3 linked regions of the Sus scrofa genome follow. The protein of the gene in region 2 purifies or fractionates together with the protein of the main gene of each other region. This does not show direct contact. Links are inferred from orthologs where the notes say so. Each region holds a gene or a part of one and is shown on either strand. Other genes may lie near its edges.

Region 1 (4,206 bases), about 69 Mb from region 2:
GAGTTTATCTGGCAACAAGGTTGGCCAGAGCCACCTTCCCTAGGAAGTCAGATGGGTTAAACCATGGGTTTCTTCCTTGCCCAACTCCCAAGGGAGCTGGGAGCTCTGTGAAACAGGAGGACATGGACTTGGTCTGTTTCCTGCCTGGATCTCCCTGCCTCCCTTCAGCACAGGCTCAGGTGCCCTGCTACCTGGTGGTGGATCCCAGGCTCAGAATTACAGTCACGTCCATGGGCCTTCCCTGACTCCCCTCCCTACACACAGCACAGGTAAGAAAGCCTCCGGTAGAGCAGGGGAGAAGGGAGACATGGAACCAGTGGCCTGATGTTTTACATTCAGTTGGACACAGAAAACCTGCTGCAGACGTGGCTCCATGCGGCCTTCTGTCCCCGCACTGCAAGAAGACACGTGCTCTCTCCTCTGTGCAAAGTGCCTCCCTGCCAGCAAGACACTGTAAAAACTAAGGGTTTCGCTGGCAAGTTGTTCATCAAGTCACTGTGTTTGTAAGCTTCCACCTGTGGAAGATTAGCTCTCACCTTTGAAGATGAGGTGCCAGAGGCTCAGCCCCACCCCCAGAACCAGCACAGCTCTCGAACCGGTTCCCATCACCCCAGCCAAGGCAGAATCCTACCTGGAGGAGGGGGAGAGCCTGGCTGCTGGCTGTGATGGGCTTTCTGGAGCACAGACCACCCAGGAACCAGACCAAAGCCTGAAGCCTGCCAGGTGAGCATGCTGGGACCTGGACACACAGAGTCCTGCTCGTGCTTCTGAAAGACGTCTCTTGTCCCCATGACGAACAAGAGGAAAGCCCAGCTGGGAGCAGCATCTCTTGCCACAGACCAGCAGCTTTACCTGGAAAGGACCAATGGCAAGGGCTCCTGACCCTACAGCTGTCACCAGAGTGTGGATCTCTCAGGGTCAACTTGCCACGTGCTAAAGGCTGGTTGTGAGGAAACACATGCCTAGTATGGCAAATGCTAAACTAACAATTGGTGCCGTTTTACACTCTCTTTGTTAAAGAGTTCTCGTTGAACATATTTTAAGTGCATTTTGCTTCTAGTTTAAAAGAATGACACATACGGATTCCAGGTGATGTATGAACTGCTTCTTGAAGCGGCTACCCTGCCTGAGGCATGTCCCTGCCAGCCCAGGCCACAGAGGGGGTGGTACAAGCCTGGTCCCACCCTGAGTGGGGTGGCAAAGGGTGTCCCTTGAGCTAGGGAATCTCAGCAGTTCTCACTCTCCCAGAAGCCACGTGGAGTCTGGTGGGATGTCAGGCAGCAGTGCCCCCAGGTCAGGGGCTGGAGGAGAAATGGTCAGCCTTTAAGGACCCAAGTTCTCTGCCTTCTGGAAAGTGTGAGCGTGTCCAGGGGCAGGTGGCAGCAGGGGACACTGTCCTTCCACTTCAGGACATCCGGTCCAGAGGGTGGGCACAGATGTAGGCTCGCTTCTCTAGGACCTGCTGGGACACTTTCTTGATCTGTTCGTCTAGATTTTCTGGAGAACCTGGGAGAGAAGAGAGTGGCCTTTCTATGTTGTGCAGTTTTTCTAACCACATAAGGCCACTGCTAGGAGGGAGTGCAGAGGTGACAGCTCCTCCCCAGGAAGTGATTCTGGGCCTCAGGGAGAAGAGGGGATAAAAAGCCCCCCTCAGCAATTCAAGCCTGTCAACTCCCCTTCCGCCGCAGCCACCATAGCAGGAGCTAACAGCCCTTCAGCACAGAGGGGCCGCCAGAGCCCAGAGGGCACAGAACCCTGTGCTCCTCCCTGGGTGGGTCAGATGGGGCGCAAGGAGTGAGGAGGCCAAAGCCAACACCTGCCGCACCTGCTGTGTGCGCTCCTGCTGGCAGCCTCACTTGGTGCAGACATCTGTGGGCACAGTGCCCTGGGAGCCCCGTTCCCCTGTCCCCAAGCCACCCACTTACATTTGTCCAGCTGGGACAGGGTGAAGAGATTCTGGTGATAGGCTTCCGTGCAGAAGATGTTGGTCAACAGAACCTGGCAGGACCCAAGGCATAGAAGTGGCTGCTGAGGACTCAGATCTCTGGGCCTTAGGACACGCCCCCACCCGCCCCCGCCCCCGCTTGACTTTCGAGCCTCTGAAGACAGTCTGTCAGCCAAAGTAGGCAGCTTGGCCAGAGTCAGGCCATGGCCTTAGATTCTGATTCCAGCCTGAGCCAAAGGGACTCTGTCTCCAGGGCAGGTCACTCAACCTCCCTGAGCCTCCATTTCCCCCTCTGTGGGAGGGAATCATAATTCCCACAGCTCCGGGCTTCTCAGACCAAAGTGCGTCAAGACACGCGTGTACACAGCAGGTGCTCAGGCTGCACTGCCCACCAAGAGATGGGGTGAGGGAGCTGGATGTGGGGCCCCGCCACTCACCCTCCCTCTTCTCTCAGGCAGGAAGATGAAAGGCAGTGGCCTCATGTCCTGAGCAGCAAGGACCTGCCCATCAGAGCTGAGAGCACTGGACACAGCCACAACTCTCCAGGTTCGCCTTCATCCCTCTGGGGACATGACCCTGGACTCGCACAGCAGCCCCCTCCCCCCACAACCACCACATCTGATTAAAATGCAGCATGACAAGCCAGCAGGGAAGCTGCCTGTGGGGAGAAGCGGGGGGCTCTCACCTCGTGGTCATGGTTCCGGAGCCCCATGCGGATGGAGCGGGTGGCCCGCGACAGCACAGCCGTCATGCCATACAGGTTGATGAGGACGTTGGCCACTCGCTTCAAGATCAACTGCTCCTCCACGATGGTCTGGGAACAGAGGGCAGGGTGGAGACTCGCCACCTGGGACCTCCTCACACAGGCCCTGCCCTGGGCCCCTCTGCCGTCTCTGAGCTTCATGCACTGCCCTCCCCTCGGGCTGTGGGAGGCTGGCTCCCGGCGGCTCTGTGCAAATCTGGGCAGAAGTCAAGACAAGTCCATGTCCCGGACACCTGGCTGAGACTAGAAGCCAGGGCTTAAAGTCACTTCAGCAGCAAGAACCTCACAGAACAGGTCCTGAGATTCAGGCCCAGGTAGGGCTGCCTGTCCTGCTCCAAGAAGCCTCTCTGCACCCAGAAGATGCCCTCCCAGCAGGGGTCTCCCAGCCCTCCATGGAGACCAAGATTCCCTCCTAGGCTTGGTCCCACTTGGATGTTGGCGCATCTCCCTGACCCCAGGTACCTTGCCAAAGCGAAGCAGCAGCATCTCCACTGTGCGGCCGAAGTAGTACACGTTCTCCTCGAGCTTGTGGGCACCGTCCTGTGGGCGGGGGGCTCTGCTCAGCATGGTCCTCCCGCAGTCTCAGGCCCTGCTACCAGGCTGGGCCCTTCTCCACCCGGACAGGGCGGAGACGGGGCATCAAGCAGCCCTCCCCAAAACCCCCGTTGCACCTCTTCTGGGAAGGGGACACCGATGGGGATGTCCACCTGCTGGGCCCACTCACCGCAACACTGGGGTGCACAGCTCCAAGCTTCCCTGTCAGCCCCAGGTCTACGGTTCGGCCAAGGGAGTCCCGAAGCCTCCGGCCAACGGTCTCCATGACGGTGGTCACATTGCCCCGTTTCAGCTCCCTGCAGGGAGCCCACGGCCCTGTTAGCTGAGGCATCAGTGCTCAAGCTCCCTGACTATGCACCCAGAGGGCCGACTCAGGACCCACGAGGCCCTCCCCCCACCAGCCCTCAGGGAGCAGCCATCTTTGACACGGAGGACTGGGTCAGGCCAGCTTCCAGGTCATCCTCCCCTGCAGGGCCTGGGCTCCAGCAGGATCGCCAACTGTTGCTGCCCCAGGATGGGGGTTGGGAAAAGAGACACTGGTCCTGCGTCAGCCTTGGAGCCACTGCCTGTTTGGGGGTCGCCTCTCACTGCCCAGGTTCTGAAAGTAGCTCCCTGCCCCATGGGAGTGGGAGCTGCAGGGAACGGGGGCAGTGTGACTGTGCGGCAGGGGACAGGGCCCGTCCCCTCCCTCCAGCCAGCCAATGATAGAGCTGAGCACTGCAAGCCTGCGCGGCCTGGTCCCCGGATGAGGCAGCCCCCTCCTCCTGCTGCACTGGACGGTTCTGCCAGGCAGGGGGACCCAGGGGACGGTGGAAGTGGCACCTACTTGACCCTTGCAGTCAGGGCGCGCCCGGCGTGCTGCAGGCCTGTCAGGGCGATGTACATCCGGAGAATCTCGTTGGTTCCCTGTGGGCAGCGTTCCCTGAGTCAAAGGCTGCCCCCA
Region 2 (4,570 bases):
ATCCTTAACACACTGAGCAAGGCCAGGGATCAAATCCGCCTTCTCATTGACACTATGTGGGGTTCTTAACCCCTTGAGCCACAATGGGAACTCCACGAATACTAGTCTTACCAATGACAGGGTACTGAAGTTCTGGGAGGTGACCTGAATTGTAAAGGCCAAGGCTAGAACCCAGATTTTCCTGGCTCTGGTACTCTTTTCCTTCATCAATCTAGCTCTGTGCTATTAACTGGTATGTGTACACACACACACACAGAGTTAAAGTGCTTCTGGAAACAGTTTAGCCAGTATCAATCTTCTCTACCAGGTTCAGGAGGAAGTAGAGCTATCCAAAACTAATTTCCTCTGATATGTAATGCCAATGACTTATACACTCCAAAGCAATAGCTGGGTTGGAGAGGGTGGTTAGTGTGGGTTAAAGATGCACATTCTGGAGTTCCTGTTGTGGCTCAGTGGGTTAAGAACCCAAATAGTATTCACAAGGATGAGGGTTCAATCCCTGGCCTTGCTCAGTGGGTTAACATTCTATTGGTTCACATTGGACTGATAATTTCCTTAAATAGCTTTACTTTAATTGCATTTATAAAATATTTATGAGGATGTTCTCAGTTAAAATGAGATAGGTTTTACTGTGTGTATGTACTAAAGATTAAGCTGTCTTTAGAAGAAACTGCTTAAGGTAATGAAAAAGAGCTTCCACAAGGCTTCTTTAGATCCCTAAAGTGGCTTTTCCTCCTTGGTATTTTTGGATCATTCTGACATCAGCAGAGAATTGAAAAGAAAGAAGTGGCCAACTACTGTTCTTATGTTACTTAACTCATGACTCCTCTTTCTCTAAGTGAATCTTACTTAAGCTGGGGCAACTAGACATTCTCATTTGAAAATCTAGAGTTGGACAGCAAGAGTTGACCAAGTTTCTCAAATGTGGCTGGATTTAAAATGTTTAATTTTGACAGCTAAAAAGGGACCAGATTATGCTATATAGTCTAAAGAACAGAGGTATATGTTTAAATAGTTCCTCACAGAACAAAGTTACTGAAGAAAATATGGGTAGTAGACTGACAAAAGTGTAAGGTAAGGAAACAACCATAACAACAACAACAACAACAAACAGGAATTGCTGCCTTTAGTTAAGATTCATAATCCTCGGACATGATCAAAAGGAGACCTTAAGAAGTAATTAACCACAAAACAAGAGACAAACCCAAGAGACAGCTTATTTGTACTTTAAACAATAAATTATAGTAAATTATTACTTATTACATTTAATAAATGTATTAGTACTACTTTCAAAATTATTTTACTTCTATTATTTTGATATTTTTGTGATATGAATAAAATTATTTTAAAACCAACCATCTGATAATTTATAATTTCTAGTTTAAAGATTTAACCTGTATGGGGGTATGAATAAAATAAACCGACTAACTGCCAATTTGTTACAATTTATGAATGGGATGATTAAGAAAAACATGCTTTTTGGAGTGTGGCAAGAATATGTAAATCGTGGTGAAAATACATTGGTGCAGATGTTCTCATATCTCTCCCCCCTTTTTTTTCTTTTTAGGACTGCATCTGTAGCATATGCAAGTTCCCAGGCTAGGTGTTGAACTGGAGCTGCAGCTGCTGGCCTATGCCACAGCCACAGCGACACCAGATCCGAGCTATATCTGCAACCTACACAGCAGATCCTTAATCCACTGAGCAAGGCCAGGGATCAAACCCGCATCCTCATGGATACTAGTTGGATTTGTAACCACCAAGCCACAAAGGGAACTCCAGGTTCTCATACAATTTTAACTGCTAATATCTGCAATTAGATAATGTCCTGTGTGCCACAGCATTGTGTTATGCTCTACACATTTACTACCCATTCTGGGGTAGATACTGTTTCATTTGACAGAAAACTCCAGACTTAAAGTAAAATGGCTGTGCTGTAGGTCACATGGATGCAAAGACACAGGGCTAAGACTGCAAGCCAGTGCCCTGCCTCCAGAGCCCCCAGTTCTAGCCAACACTCTAGGCTGCTTCACAAATACTGATCATGTGAAAGACTTTTTTTTCTTTTGGCTGCACCTTCAACATGTGGAAGTTCCCAGGCCAGGGATCAAACCTGTGCGGATGTTGTGGCCTGTACTATAGCTGCGGCAATAACGGATCCCAAACCTGCTGCACCATATGGGAACCTCAAACGCTGCTCATGTGGGCAACAGCATTTTCACTAAGTTTAACCCCCAAACAAAGCACAAGCAGTTTTTACCCCTCAGTACACTTGACTCAGTCATCCCCCCCCACCCCCTCATTTAGTAAAAGTTACAATCTGCAGGGCAACTTCCTTTTCCTTCTCAGGCAGCAAGCTCCTGGAGTGCAGAGACTAAGTATCTATTAATCTGAGTAACTCTTGCATATACAGCAGAGATACTTTGTCAGCAATACTGAGAGAGGAAATAAGGTCTGGCCTAGCCACTTCCTTTTTTAAGTTTTATTTCAAATGGCATGGGAACCATCTTTGATTTTTACTGAAACAAAACCAGGAGTTGCCATTGTGACTCAACAGGTTAAGAGCCCAACATAGCGTCAGCGAGGATACAGGTTCAATCCCTGGCCCCAAGCTGCAGTGTAGGTCGAAGATATGGCTCAGACCTGGCATTGCTGTGGCTGACGCTGTGGCAGCAACTGTAGTTCCGATTTGACACCTAGCCTGGGAACTTCCATATGCTGCAGGTGAGGCCCTAAAAGAAAACAAAACAAAAAAACCAAGCACTACTACACGTCTGGCACTTACTGTTTCCAGGAACCCAGGGCTTCAGAGACCATTTGCCTTACCTAGTTCTTTTCTTTTTTTTTTTTTTTTTTTGGCTTTTTGGCTTTTTGCTATTTCTTTGGGCTGCTCCCGAGGCATATGGAGGTTCCCCGGCTAGGGGTCGAATCGGAGCTGTAGCCGCCAGCCTACGCCAGAGCCACAGCAACGCAGGATCCGAGCCGCGTCTGCAACCTACACCACAGCTCACGGCAACGCCGGATCCCTAACCCACTGAGCAAGGGCAGGGACCGAACCCGCAACCTCATGGTTCCTAGTCGGATTCGTTAACCTCTGCGCCACGACAGGAACTCCTTACCTAGTTCTTTTCTCCCCTCTTCCTAGTGATCCCTACAGTAACCTACAAATGTCAATTTTTAATCTGTAGAATTCAATTTTAATCTCTAGGGAAATTCTAAATTTACTGTTGTAGTATTGAGGGAAAAGAAATTTAAATTGATCAATCAATATAGATACACGTATGTGTTTAAATTTATGGATGAGTAAACTAAGAATAGCCCAATTCTTGCTTGTTTTTTTTAAAAGATAAGTCACTGCCACTACAGATGCCAGTGCTTACATTTGTCAGCAGCCCAACCAACCACCATTCAATGGACATGGTAACACATAGCTCCCTTCAACTCTCCAGTGAGTCCAGAGCATTTTCAATCCTAGTCTTGTTTATTTGTTGATGAAGGGTTTCTAGGAAGATTCAGCAGTGTTTCAATTTTCATAGCATCATCCTTGGATTGATTTTTCTGTAAACTGCTTTCAATTTCTTCAGGGAGGAGCTCAGTAAATTGTAGTCTGGCTTTCCTGTAATCAAAGAATAAGAATATATCAAATATTGTTCCTTTTTTTTGGTTCTTAGACTTTTTTTATTTTTTATTATTATTATTATTTTTTTTGGTCTTTTTGCTATTTCTTTGGGCCGCTCCTGCGGTATATGGAGGTTCCCAGGCTAGGGGTCGAATCAAAGCTGTAGCCACTGGCCTAGCCAGAGCCACAGCAACGCGGTATCCAAGCCGAGTCTGCAACCTACACCACAGCTCACGGCAACGCCGGATCGTTAACCCACTGAGCAAGGGCAGGGAGCGAACCCGCAACCTCATGGTTCCTAGTCAGATTCGTTAACCACTGTGCCACGACGGGAACTCCTCTTAGACTTTTTTTAAAAGATAGTATTGTGTCTTACTCTCCCTTACAACTCCTGAGCAAACACTGACCCTTGCATTTCAAATACAATGACTTTCTTCTCTCTCCTAACCTGTTCCACTTATAAGCCGAGTAGAATTCTCTCATTACCAAAACGGACATTGCTGGAGCAGAAGCTCTGATTCTTAAGATACGCCAGAATTTTTGCAGGGGTGGCACGCAGTTGCTGAAAACCCTGGGCTAAGATGTGAGCTTTGAAACTAGACTGTCCTCTTGCCCTCTGGACCCAGGAAGGATGTAAAACCCCCATCACTCTGTTAAACTCTGTTGACAGACCTTGTAGGACAGGGACGAAGGTTATATAACACTGGTAACCTCAGTACAGAAAAGTCAGATAAGACAACACTGAGATGTATATTTTCTAGGAGTTAAAATATAATTTCCAAGTAACAGATGAGTTCTTTTCCAAATCAAGTATGTGTCCTCCTTTAAGTGATTGTCAGGGTCACCTCTGACTTTCTCACACCTCTTTATAACCAGATTTTACCAATTCTTCTTGCACACTTCTATAGCCAGTGTGCTATTTTCTCCTAAGGCAATTTTTTAGATTCTCAC
Region 3 (5,405 bases), on a different chromosome or scaffold from region 2:
AGCCTGTCCCCGGGGAGGGATCCCCTCCCGCTAAGCTCCATAAAAGCGGGCCATTGCTAGAGCCAGGTGCTAGAAAGAGCGAGTTTATTGCAAATTCCAAGGGAGGCAGCACCTGCAGCGCGCCCTCCCTCACTGGCATGCGCGTCTGGCTGGGGACCGAGGCTCTCCGCGGACGACCGCTCGCCAGCAGTTGCTCTAAGCAGGCACCGTCCCTCGCGTAGCCGTCGCTCATTCCGCATGGCGCAAAATTTCTCTCTCCTCTTGTCCGGGTCCCTCTCTGGGCTTCTCTTGGGGTATAGAGGAAGGGCATGAGCCCTCCCGCTCTTGGGATTGTGGAGGAGGAGCTAGATTCCGAACAAGGGCCACCGAGGCCCCCGGCATCGAAAGAATTGGGATGAGGGGAAGGGCGCGTGCGCAGCGGTGCGCGGCGGCTTCGCAGAACTCCGGAAGCGCGCTTCTTGCGCGTACGCTGCGCTTGCGCAGTGCTCGGGGCAGCGGGAATAGTGGGAACCCCGGCTTCTAGCCGGAGTCCCCAGCACGCAGCCAGCCGTTGCGCGCTACTTGGCCGGCGGAGGGCCTAGCCGACGGGCTGAACTGCAGCAACTCGGCGATCAGGGCCTTGCAGCGTTCGGACAGCTCGAGGCCGTCAGGGTAGAGAACGCCGCGCTTCTGGCGCCTGGGCAGGCCAGCGATATCGGAGTCGTCAAAGGGCATACACCCGGTGACCATGACGTAGAGCACGACGCCCAAGCTCCACACGTCGTACTTCTTGGGGTCGTAGGGGATGCCCAGGAGTACCTCGGGCGATGCGTAGGCGGCTGAGCCGCAATATGTGGTGCTTAGATCCGGGTAGCCGTGCGCCTGTCGGCCGAAGCCGAAGTCGGTAAGCTTGACGCGGCGCTCATCAGGGCTCAGCAGCACGTTTTCGCACTTGAGGTCGCGGTGCACCAGGTGGTGGTCGTGCAGGTAGCGCACAGCACCGGCGATCTGCGCGAAGAGGTCGCGCGCCTGCCCCCCTGGGATGCGCCCGTTGCGCTGCACGGCCTGCAGTAGGTCGGTGGCGGCCGCCTCCATCACGATGTACAGCTTCCCGTTGCACACCTCGATGAACTCGAAGACGTGCACGATGTGCGGGTGCCGCACGCCCCGAAGGATGGACAGCTCTCGTGGCAGGAACTTGTTGACGAAGTCGGGCGGCGCGCGCCGCCGGTCCACCACCTTGATGGCCACTGTGCCCTTGTACTTCTTGGATGTAGCCACCTTTACCTTGGAATAACTGCCCTCGCCTATTGTGCGGCCCAGCTTATAGCCGAGTTCGCTCAGAAGTTTGTCGCCCGACATGGTGGCGCCTGGGGCGCGTGGGGAGCAGGAGACGGCTGCTGTCGGGGGGCGGCCGGACTCCGATCTCGGGCCTAACCCATGGCGCTTGGCACCTGCACACCCGCACCCCCATGTGCCCACTCCCGGGCCCCCGCCGCCGCGGTGCCTTTTATTGCCCAGGTAACAATTTCTGCCTTGTGAAGTGACTGCGGGCGTCACCCCGCCTCGGGGTGGGGGCCCCCAGACCCTGTCCTGTGGTGCTCCCTAAGACCGTAGGGCTTTGTGACTCATAATCGCTCCGAATGGTTCAGTTCCTGATGAGAGGACACTATCAAGGGGTCCCTACCACTAGAAGTGGAATCCGTGCCCAGGATTGGGGCAGCTCATGGCGTCCGAAGCTGAGGAGCAGCCGACCCCCAACTTCATGTGCCCAGCCCAGACCCTGAGGAGGCCCCCCAAGGGGAGAAAATGGGAAAGAGACCTGGCTCCATCCGGCGCTTGGGGATTGTCTGGTCTGCACGTCGTCTCATAGGGAAGGTGAATGGGAAGTGCTTTGGTGCAAAGACCCTGGCGCCCTAGCCTGTTGAGGGCGTTGACATTGATTGAGCCACGCCCTATTTGGGAGCCGATACTCTTTGGCTGCAGCTAGGCGGCACAGTCATTGTCCCGCCCAGCTGCCGGAGCTTTACCACGCGCTGGGGTAGGTGCAGCAGAGCGCCAGGTTTCCCGGCTAGGTCCTAGACCTGCGCGGCAGCTTCCGCCACGCTCCTTATGGTGGAGGCATACGTTGTGTAACTTCCTTTCCCGACCGGAAGTGCAAGGTACTGCAAGTATGGCGGCATCGAAGGTGAAGCAGGACATGCCCCCACCAGGGGGCTATGGCCCTATCGACTACAAGCGGAACCTCCCACGTCGAGGACTGTCGGGTCAGTGTCGTCCTGTGCCGGGGTGTCAGGGTCTAGGCCCTCTGGGCGCCGCGGCGGGGTTGGGACGCGGGGAGTCTAGCGCGCCTGCTTTTTCCCCGGGATCCCAGATACCTTCACTAGTGACATTAAGAACAACTGCTGCAGTTTGTTCGAGCGTTTACCAAGCCCTTTACATCTTTCTCGTTAACAGCCCAGGAGGCCAGTCCTGTTAATTATTCCCACTTCGTAATTAAACAGATTAATTTTTTAACCCGTGCGGAGAGCCTTCCGCCACGCTCTCGGTTCACTGGTGGGGAAACAGACCCGAGAGAGGATGTGACCTCCCACCAGGGCCATCCAGAGCAAAGCTGGGGCTGAAACCCGGAATACTGAGGGAATTTTAAAGATGTTCTGTGCGGTGGTTCCTCGCTGGGGGCCCCACCTGCAGGATATCCCAGGAATATGCATCCTTAAAATTTTTTGTTGGGTAAAATGTAAGAGAGAAAGTAAAAGGCACCCATACTCTGCACTCAGGATTAACGGAGAAATACAGAAAATGTAAAGAAGAGTTAAGAATACTTTGTTGTAACTCATTGAACTTTACATTTAAAAGTGCGTCCTGTGCACATTTTGCCTCAATTAAAAGGCAAAAAAATTCATAGGCAAAAAAAGTTCTAATTCAGATAGTGAAAAATTCATGTACTCAAGTCCTTCTCTGCCCTTTCTTGGCTTTTTTGTAATGTGGAACCAAGGTTGACAAACTTTTTATGTAAAGAGCCAGATAAATATTTCATGCTTTGCTGGCCAGGTGGTCTTTGCTGCTACTGCTTTACTGCTTTACAGCTTTACAAACCCAAGTGTTCCTAGCCAGAGGGCTATAGAAAAATAGGTTACAGGCTAGGTTTGGCACCACATGGGCACTCAATTCGCACCACATGGGAACTCAACAAGCCAGTACACCCCTTGAGTGTGTGGCATGAGGTTTGTCTATACATGTATACTTTTTTTTTTTTTTTTTTTTGTCTTTTGTCTTTTAGGGCCACACCTGTGGCATATGGAGATTCCCAGGCTAGGGGTCTAATCGGAGCTGTAGCCACTGGCCTGCACCAGAGCCACAGCAATGTGAGATCCAAGCCGTGTCTGCGACCCTCACCACAGCTCATGGCAATGCCAGATCCTTAACCCGCTGAGCAAGGGCAGGGATCGAACCCGCAGCCTCATGGTTCCTAGTTGGATTCGTTAACCACTGAGCCACGACGGGAACTCCATGTATACTTTTATGACATGCATCCAGACCAGGCTATGTAGGGATCCCAGCCCTTGGGTCTTCCTGGGATCTCCACAGTCAGCTTCTCTCTTTTTTCCTTTTTTTCTTTTTTTTCAGAACCACACCCATGGCATATAAAAGTTCCCCGCCTAGAGGTCAAATCAGAGCTTGCAGCTGCCAGCCTACCACAGCCACAGCATTGCTGGATCCCAGCTGGCATCTGCAACCTCCAGTACAGCTTGTGGCAATGCTGGATCCTTAACCCACTGAACAAAGCCAGGGATTGAACCCATGTCCTCATGGATACTATGTTGGATTCTTAATCCACTGAGCCACAACGGGAACTCCAGTCAGCTTCTCTTTTATTTTTAAATCACAAATGTGGCCTTTATCCTGTTGCTCTTCCAGTTCATGACCTAGAAGTGCCTCCCTCCCATGTGCCCTAAGTAAACCACTGCCTGGGATTGGGTCTCCTAATCTCAGCTCATTACACCTCCTTTTGTTGTAGCATATACAGACCCACCCCATTCTTTCCTGGCTGCAGAGCTGTAGGGAAGATATTCCCTTCTGGAGTGTGGTCTTTGTTTATGTACCTACATTCAGTAATTATTGAGTGCATCCATGGTGCTGGGTTCTTTCCTGAGGAGCTCAGGATCCAGCTGAGGAGACAGACACATCACTCCATAATTTCCCGTTGTAGCCAATGGAAAGGCCTGCCAGAGTCCCTGGCCAGAGTGGGCTGAATCACCTCTCTGAGAAGGAGTTTCCCAGGCAGAGGGAACCGCAAATGTAAAAGCCCTTTAGGAGTTCGCATCATGGCTCAGCGGTTAACGAACCTGACTAGCATCCATGAGGATACAAGTTTGATCCCTGACCTTGCTCAGTGGGTTAAGGATCCAGCATTGCCATAAGCCATGGTGTAGGTTTGAAGACACAGATTGGATTCTGCATTGCTGTGGCTGTGGCATAGGCCACAGGTACAGCTCCAATTAGACCCCTAGTCTGGGAACCTCCATATGTTGTGGGTAAGGCCCCCCCCCAAAAAAAAAGAAAAAAAGTAAAAGCCCTTTACTCTGTCCTGTGCCTGCCCTCATTCTCTGTCCTCCAGGCCCTCCTCTAGCCTTGCCTCAAAAGTGCTCTTGTCAAGGCACTGTGATCGCAAACTTGGCATGCTCTCCCCCTTCTCTCCAGTTACTGCCAGCATCCCAGAATGTGTGGCTCAGGCCACCTTTAGTCCACTGCTCCCAATATAACTACTATTACCACCTTTTCCCCTCCTCTCTCATGCCCAGCTCTCCTTTCTCCACTCCCTCCTGTACCCAGCAAGTGGCCCTTTCTTTTCTTCTTATGTCTTTTACATTTTTATTGAACTGTACCATACAATTCACCCATTTCATATGTACACATAACTGAGTTTTAGTCTATTCATTGTTGTGCAACCATCACAACTAAGTGATGGCACCTAATGAATCTTCAGAACTTTGAAAATGTTTACAACATTTTCATCACCCCAAAAAGAAATCTCATACCCATTAGCCATTACTACGTTCTTCCCTCAGCCCCTGACAACCACTGATCTGCTTTCTGTCTCTATGGATTCACTTCTTCTGGACATTTCATATAAATGGAATTGTTTACTATGTGTATTTTTTTGTCTGGCTTTTCTCACTGAACATGTTTTTAATGTTTATATTGTATGTTTCAGTGCTTCGTTCTTTTTTTCAGGCTGAATAATATTCTTGTATGGCTGGACCATATTTTATGTATCCATTTACCACTTTATGGTCATTTGAGTTGTTTCTAACTTTTGGCTGTTAAGAACTGCTGCCATGAACATTCCTGTACAGGTTTCTGTGTGAGCATTTGTTTCCTTTCTCTTAGGTGGAGTGGGATTGCTGGGTCATATGGTAACT

What was found.
Region 1: the proteins of TIMMDC1 (region 2) and ACAD9 purify together in Homo sapiens (affinity purification with mass spectrometry; 3 studies listed by BioGRID and IntAct, counting the BioPlex papers as one, with this or other methods). This does not show direct contact. The link is inferred for Sus scrofa from reciprocal best matches to the Homo sapiens genes TIMMDC1 and ACAD9.
Region 3: the proteins of TIMMDC1 (region 2) and NDUFA13 purify together in Homo sapiens (co-immunoprecipitation; 3 studies listed by BioGRID and IntAct, with this or other methods). This does not show direct contact. The link is inferred for Sus scrofa from reciprocal best matches to the Homo sapiens genes TIMMDC1 and NDUFA13.

What each region holds. Positions count from the first base shown.
Region 1 is NC_010455.5:71,419,270-71,423,475, reverse strand, and holds the end of ACAD9 (acyl-CoA dehydrogenase family member 9, mitochondrial), read right to left. Parts: intron 4,170-4,206; coding exon 4,090-4,169; intron 3,560-4,089; coding exon 3,433-3,559; intron 3,249-3,432; coding exon 3,171-3,248; intron 2,760-3,170; coding exon 2,631-2,759; intron 2,591-2,630; exon of another isoform or gene 2,435-2,590; coding exon of another isoform or gene 2,400-2,434; intron 1,999-2,399; coding exon 1,926-1,998; intron 1,507-1,925; coding exon 1,406-1,506; 3' UTR 1,084-1,405; downstream 1-1,083. Other genes in the region: uncharacterized protein KIAA1257 homolog, read left to right, coding at 265-464. UniProt on the Homo sapiens protein: As part of the MCIA complex, primarily participates in the assembly of the mitochondrial complex I and therefore plays a role in oxidative phosphorylation.
Region 2 is NC_010455.5:140,727,630-140,732,199, forward strand, and holds the end of TIMMDC1 (complex I assembly factor TIMMDC1, mitochondrial), read right to left. Parts: intron 3,617-4,570; coding exon 3,472-3,616; 3' UTR 930-3,471; downstream 1-929.
Region 3 is NC_010444.4:58,407,058-58,412,462, reverse strand, and holds the start of NDUFA13 (NADH dehydrogenase [ubiquinone] 1 alpha subcomplex subunit 13), read left to right. Parts: upstream 1-2,048; 5' UTR 2,049-2,152; coding exon 2,153-2,246; intron 2,247-5,405. Other genes in the region: TSSK6 (testis-specific serine/threonine-protein kinase 6), read right to left, coding at 520-1,341. UniProt on the Homo sapiens protein: Accessory subunit of the mitochondrial membrane respiratory chain NADH dehydrogenase (Complex I), that is believed not to be involved in catalysis. Complex I functions in the transfer of electrons from NADH to the respiratory chain.